Neodiprion lecontei: one gene and its partner. The protein of the gene in region 2 interacts with the protein of the main gene of each other region in a pairwise test. Links are inferred from orthologs where the notes say so. Each region holds a gene or a part of one and is shown on either strand. Other genes may lie near its edges.

What was found. The genes of interacting proteins can lie anywhere in the genome.
Region 1: the proteins of exocyst complex component 1 (region 2) and spectrin alpha chain interact in a two-hybrid assay, tested with the Homo sapiens proteins (2 studies listed by BioGRID and IntAct). The link is inferred for Neodiprion lecontei from reciprocal best matches to the Homo sapiens genes EXOC1 and SPTAN1.

What each region holds. Positions count from the first base shown.
Region 1 is NC_060263.1:15,581,309-15,585,066, forward strand, and holds the start of spectrin alpha chain, read left to right. Parts: upstream 1-1,013; 5' UTR 1,014-1,101; exon of another isoform or gene 1,102-1,165; 5' UTR 1,166-1,308; coding exon 1,309-1,458; intron 1,459-1,652; coding exon 1,653-1,884; intron 1,885-1,985; coding exon 1,986-3,758. UniProt on the Homo sapiens protein: Fodrin, which seems to be involved in secretion, interacts with calmodulin in a calcium-dependent manner and is thus candidate for the calcium-dependent movement of the cytoskeleton at the membrane.
Region 2 is NC_060263.1:29,175,797-29,179,554, reverse strand, and holds the start of exocyst complex component 1, read left to right. Parts: upstream 1-963; coding exon 964-1,411; intron 1,412-1,488; coding exon 1,489-1,643; intron 1,644-1,728; coding exon 1,729-1,956; intron 1,957-2,042; coding exon 2,043-2,279; intron 2,280-2,362; coding exon 2,363-2,603; intron 2,604-2,689; coding exon 2,690-2,907; intron 2,908-3,027; coding exon 3,028-3,218; intron 3,219-3,376; coding exon 3,377-3,744; intron 3,745-3,758.

The DNA.
Region 1 (3,758 bases), about 14 Mb from region 2:
GTAGAGAAAATTGAAAAACAATGAAATAAATAAACAAATAGAAATTTACTACTACTTATATACCGTGGAAATTACAGTACAACAAACAGAAGCAAGTACCTATTATACAACTATACATAATAACACATACTTATAAACAATGAATGGACACTAAAATTAAATAATACAAATTTTTCAAATCTCTTATTTTCAGGGAAAGTAAATTTACATTATAACATAAACATTTGACTACACTATGATGCTGATGCTGATGATTATGGTGACAGTGATGATGATAAAAATGATGATGATATGATGATGATATTTTAGAAAGTTAAGATTTTACTGTAATAAGGATATGATTATATTTACTTGTAATATATAATTAAGTATGGATAAATTGATTTACGTGTTAAGGAACTATAATGTAACGTTCTGTGATTCGTTGTTTGTAGGTGAAATTTAATAAATGAATACTGTATCATAATAAGATATCCAGAAATTACTAAGTATATTTCAACCAAAAATAATATTTCATTATAATATTATTTACATTTTTGCGAAAATAGAAAATTCGAGGTAAAAACATTGTGAAACCTTATCGGAGAGCGGCTGTGTAAGTATACATTGTATACAACATACGATCTATGTGCATTTTATAATATTGAATCATCGTGATAGCGACTATTTAAAGCTCACCAAGCTCACAATACTAACAACAAGTAAATGTGAGAGAGATTAAACATTACGGGCTCAAGCTTCATTACAACTAGCGGGAAACAGTGTATATATGTGTACAGTTAATCTTATGTGCAGTATGACGCAATTGCTATTTATACGGAGCCTATTGACCCGTTATTCCATGTGGGCTGTAACATAATTCAGTTGAATATCTCGCGCAGGTTTTTAACTGGATAATAGCCGATTCGCAAGCCAATTAGAACCCACGCTCCAACAGAAATCACCGAGCAGACAGCGCAACGCGGAGTTATGGAACACCCGGCGATTACCCCACTTACTGAACACCCGTCGCTCTTCCGCACTCGCGTATAGTATCGAACGTGGAATCAACGACGACGAATGTGCCGAACGAGAATTTAGGTGAAGTCATTCTGAGCAAAGGTGTGTTGTTTTGTACCGTTTAGAGTGCACATTGTGAGCCGTAAAGTGACCGTTTGAAAATTAGATTTTAGGGTTGGTGCGGGAAACGATAATTAACCAAAAAAACAACGGGGCTGACAGTCCGTTCGATATTCCGAACACTATTCGGCCCGCTGCCACACCCCGCGGCCATTTTGGTGGATAACTACTGTGTACAAAGTCTCAATCATGGATCAAATAACACCCAAGGAGATTAAGATCCTTGAAAATCCTGCCGACATACAGGAGCGCAGGGATCAGGTCCTTGGACGTTACGCTAATTTTAAATCCGAGGCTCGTTTGAAGCGGGACAAACTTGAGGACTCCCGTCGCTTTCAGGTATGCCCTTTGGTGCTCGTGTACGTGTATGCGGGTGTGTATCGTGCGTTTTGACAGACGGAAATCGGTCGGATCAATCGTGTATTTTCGTCTTAAATTTATTTTCAATTAATCGCTGAAATAAATGAAACTGGTTATTCGATTCTTGATTGAAATCTTACACTAACGGGTACGTTGTGCATTTTTTTCTCCAGTATTTTAAGCGAGATGCGGACGAACTTGAGGGATGGATTTACGAGAAGCTCCAGGCCGCTTCCGACGAGAGTTACAAAGACCCGACGAATCTTCAAGCTAAGATTCAGAAACATCAGGCGTTCGAAGCTGAGGTAGCCGCTCATTCAAACGCCATCGTATTGCTCGACAACACAGGCTCAGAGATGATAGCTCAGCATCATTTCTCCTCTGACGTTATTCGCAAGAGGCTTGGTAAGCGTAGATTAATAGTTAACTGTGTTATTTCTTTCCCAAATGTAACAAGTACCCTTCGTTCATTTCTTCATACTTAACTGTAATTTTTGTATTATTAGAGGAACTGCATCGTCTTTGGGAGCTGCTCCTTTCTCGTTTGGCCGACAAGGGATTAAAACTTCAACAAGCTCTTGTTCTGGTGCAGTTTCTTCGTCATTGCGACGAAGTCATGTTCTGGATCCACGATAAGGAGGCTTTTGTCACTACAGACGAGTTTGGGCATGACTTAGAGCATGTCGAGGTTCTTCAGAGGAAATTTGACGAGTTTCAGAAAGATATGGCTAGCCAAGAGTACAGAGTAACAGAGGTTAATGAACTTGCTGACAAGCTTCTACTGGATGGGCATCCTGAGCGCGATACTATTCTCCGTAGAAAAGAAGAGCTAAATGAATCTTGGCAGAGGTTGAAGCAGCTCGCTATTCTCAGGCAGGAAAAATTGTTTGGTGCCCATGAGATACAGAGATTTAACCGAGATGCTGACGAAACTATGGCCTGGATTGCGGAGAAGGACGTCGTTCTGTCGTCTGATGATTTTGGCCGCGATTTGGCCAGCGTTCAGACACTTCAGCGCAAGCATGAGGGAATAGAACGTGATCTAGCTGCTCTGGAAGACAAGGTGGCCACTCTTGGTGCCGAAGCAGATCGCCTGGCTGCTATTCACCAGGCCGATCATTCCCAGCAGATCCAATCAAAGCATGCAGAAATATTGCAGCTCTGGGAAAGCTTGACGGCCAAGGCAAAGGAACGAAGATCCAAGTTGGACGAGTCCTACTACCTTCATCGATTCTTGACCGACTACAGGGATCTTGTTTCATGGATGAACGATATGCGAGCCATTATATCTGCAGACGAGCTTGCCAAAGACGTTGCAGGAGCAGAGGCGCTGCTGGAGCGACATCAAGAACACAAAGGAGAAATTGACGCACGGAAGGACAGTTTTGACTCGACTGCTCGTGCCGGTCAGCAACTTCTTGATAGGAAACATTATGCAGCAGATGAGGTAGCCAGGAAGTTGGAGTCTCTTGCTGAGGATAAGAAGTCCCTGTTAGATCTTTGGGAAAAACGTCGCATTCTGTACGAGCAATGCATGGACTTGCAGCTATTTTATCGGGACACAGAGCAGGCTGACGCCTGGATGGCAAAGCAGGAAGCATTCCTGGCTAACGAAGACCTTGGAGATTCCCTGGACAGTGTAGAAGCTCTAATCAAAAAACATGACGACTTTAACAAGTCCCTGGCTGCTCAAGATGAAAAAATCAAAGTGCTAGATGACTTTGCCCGTAAGCTTATCGAGGGTGATCATTACGCGGCTGAAGATGTATTCCAACGTCGGCAGCTCTTGCTCGAGCGGCGAGGTGCCCTTCTTGATAAATCTGCTCAAAGAAGACAGCGTTTGGCTGATGCTTACACGCTTCAACAGTTTGAGAGAGATTGCGACGAAACCAAGGGTTGGGTGAATGAAAAACTCAAATTCGCCACTGACGACAGCTACCTAGACCCAACGAATTTGAACGGCAAAGTACAGAAACATCAGAATTTCGAGCAGGAGTTGAATGCAAACAATACGCGCATGGAGGAAATTCTCAGCACAGGGCAAAAACTGATCGACGAAGAACATTATGCCAGTGATCGCATTCGTGCACGTCTTGACGAAATCACTGGTCTTTGGGACAGTCTTGTTCAGGCGACTGACAAAAAGGGATCTAAATTGCAAGAGGCTGCACAGCAGCAGCAATTCAATCGAACCGTTGAAGATGTTGAGCTGTGGCTGTCTGAAGTTGAGGGCCAGCTTATGTCCGAAGATTACGGCAAGGATTTAACAAGCGTGCAAA
Region 2 (3,758 bases):
GTAAGATATAATTTGTGAATTTGGAATTTTGTGAATATAGGGCATTGAACTTTTGAGTATTTAGTTCTTTTCTAGAACTGAAAATACATTTAGTAAATAATGTATTATTCGGATTATAAAATTTCAACCACGCCAAATGCAATTTCAACCTATGCAGGTAGCAACGATAACTCAGTACATAATATCAAATTTCTGTTTCATTTTTACTTGAGAAATGCAATGAATTTGCGCCTAATAGCTGCAACACATAACGCATCAAACAAATGTAGAGCTACACGAAATAAAAAATTCTAAGCTCACGCCTGCGCTCCAGAATATAGCTAGATTCCTGTTTACGCCCTCAAAGCCTCGATGTGGGCTGTCAAATGACAGTTGCAGCCTCAAAGAACAAAAAAAATTGGTTGCAATCAATTGTGTGATGATATACGAAGCGTTGTGAAATAACTGGCAGTGTTTCAGGAGCCTGGTAACACTATCTTAATTCTTAGGTAATAAAATGTTAATTTCGAGGTTGGAATGATGATTTTCAGAAAATACACCGAGTACGTACGCATATCCGAAAGACAAGTTTCATCTATGGAATCGCTGGCACTCTTTTCAGACCACCAATCACTATTTTCCCAAGGTTTCTTATCCAACTCCAAGCAGCGCACAGTGTTGCATAAGACTCAATAATAGCACAATGATTGTGGTCAGTTCTTTGACCTACAAGTCTGTGAATCTGGTGATTCTAACCAAACTTTAAAAAACCACTCACACGAGTCATAGTTTCTCTTCTGTAAGAACATGAGCCACAACAAGCAATTTAATTTAAAGCACTCTAACCTTGTCAGTGATTCGATATATTAAATTATTCCTCACATTTCAGACGGAAGAGCTGCTAGACCGACCACAAAAGCCAGTCATCACTGATGCTTGAATAATAAAGAAAACCTGAATAATTAAATAAAATTTGTTGATGCAATGGCTGTGATAAAACATGCGCTAAAACGAGAACTGTTTGCGCCAGCCGATCAGCAATTGCTTAGTCTCTGTCATGTTTGTAAGGCTTTTAAAAAAAAAAAGACTAGCTTTTTATGTATCGTTAGAACAACTGACACCCCAGGCTCACTATTGCTTTGCCAAGTTAAAAAAAATGACAAGAATGTCTACAAGAAAAAACAGTCCTGGCCTCTGACTGATATACAAATGGTTGATGGTGTCAATATTGACTCGCTGGACCTGGAAATATACATCGATAAGGTCTATAAATGGACAGCCACCTACGCTCAAGAAAGAACAACGTTCATACGGAATTTATACACATATTCTTGTAGCATGCCGCAAAGACCTGAGTTTAAAAATATACCCAGTGATTGGATGATCGATCCTGCATCTCTTAAAGAAAGCGACAGCATTATTTTCACACCGGGTAAATAATTTTCAAACAACCTTGATGCTGTTGTTCAGAAAGATACATGTATCATTATGTATATTGAATTTTTTCAGATTTGTTGTCTCAACCTGTATCTGCAGATTATCAACCAATTACTGACAAGGAGGCTACGTATCTAGCATCGTTGATGGCAAGTTGTGACTATGCAGTCTCAGATGCAGAACGTTTTATGGAAACACTCTCTAAAGATCTATCGATATTAGATGGGGTAAGATATTCTCAATTTTTAAGGCACCAAATAATCAGTAAAGATAAAACATGTTAATAAATGTGAATATTTCTTACTTCAATAGCAAAATGTACAATCGGTCCTAGTTTCCGAGCCTCAAGTAATTCAATTAATGAATGGTATCGAGGCTGCTATTACCGAAGCATCCTTAGTAGAATCACGTCTTGCTGTCTATGACGAGGCACTTGGTAGAATCAGAGATGCAATGGCTAGAGTTGGTCAAAAAAACCAAGCCATTCATACGGCTAATCACAACGCTAGACTTCTCCTCGAACAGCTTGACGCTGTAATTGTAAGTGTGTAACTACAAGGATTCTGCCTGAGTATTCTACAATCTACAGATTTTCCCACTCACCTTTCGAATTTTTACTCAACTAGACACAACTGGATATACCAGCAGAACACCAACGCACATTGAGCGAAGCAGAACTTCCAGGAGGTAGAGAAGAGCTCGGACGAGCAGGAGTAGCTTTATTGAAAGCTACATCTGTTCCTTTACCTCCTGGTCTTGATAAATTAGGAGCTGCTTCGGAACAACGTCGGCGTCTGGACAAACTTAGAGCTAAATTCTCTTTGATTGTAGCCAGGCATCTGAACAATCTATTCATACACTTGGTTTGTCTCTATTTTCTCTTTCTTGCCGTATATTGCTTTAGGCAATAGTCTGTAACCATTATCTTACTTGACTTGATTTTCAGGGCAATGACACAGGCGAAGCCTCAACCTCGACAACAGATCTTACGCTGCCTACGCATCAAGCTGTACATCGTGAACTAGAACCATACACCGAATTGATGAGATTACTCAGAGCTTTGGATAACAAAGCATTCACTCAATTAACAAAAGTGTACACTGGCACCATGAGCAAATTATACCAGAGAGACCTAAAGCTATTTTTTGAGGAAGCAAAAACTCGCGTTACTAGCAAAAAACTTAATGGTGGGTATATATAACCTTACATAAATTCAGCCATAGTATATACGCAAAAGTAAACATTTTGTTGTGCATCTTACATATATTCACAGCCAATACATCGAAATCTAGTGGACAAAAAGGGGATGACTTGGTTAGTCCAGCGCCTCTTTGTCTCTTGGGTGGGGAGGTTTGGGCTCCTCAAGGAGAGGGAGCCCTCTTAGATTCTGTTCTAGATAGAGCTCTTTCTCAATTGCAGCCTGTCTGTCTCGCTGAACAAGCTTTTTGCGTTTCGTTTTTCCAGCTTGACTCGGTTCTGTCGCCCGTGAAGGTACAAAATATTTCTTTACTTACATTTCGTTGAATCACAGGTATATCGTTAGTTGCTTCTATTAGTTATAATATAGCAATTGATCAGTATATAATGCGTGAGGTGATTAATTGTTAAAAGGGAACTGAAGCGGACGAGACTGATAGTATTAGCAATGGAGCAACAAGTCCCGGATCAGCAAATTCTACTGCCAGTAAAAAGTTGGAAAGACAAGTTAACGAAGAAGTTAGAGCTACAATGGCTGCAATATTTCCATCCCTTGAGCCTGAATTGAACAATTTTATATCATATTTGGATAAAATAGACAGCTTGTAAGTTATTAGATTTCCGTTATCCTTAGCATTAATATTTCTGTCAAATAACTATAATTTACCCGACAATTCATTATCAGTTACGTTTGTAGTAAGAAAAATATTACTGTCCAACAACTTTAATAACAATAACAGCAAGTGAAACATTTTTTTTCCAGTTGGTGTTTATATGTACTAGTGCGGCTCTCACAGCACGTAATGTCAGCGCAGGATACGGGATCTTTTCTTTCAATGACATTTGCATCTGCACTTGTACAGGTGAAGAGATCGTTTGATAAATTTATGCAGGCGCAACTACAGTCTATCTTGCGTGACCCCAAAGTCAACCGTCGAACCAAATGTGGAATATTACCTTACGTTGAAAATCTTCAACCCTTTGCCCGAACTGCAGAACGGATATTCAAAAATTCTGATAGAAAAGTCGATCTAGAGAAGTGGTACACCAAACTCATTGAGGCAATGTTCGAAGCAATTGTAATACACAGTGGTGAACATCATAAAACACCACCGGAGGTCATAAAAATGGGTGAGTTACTTTCA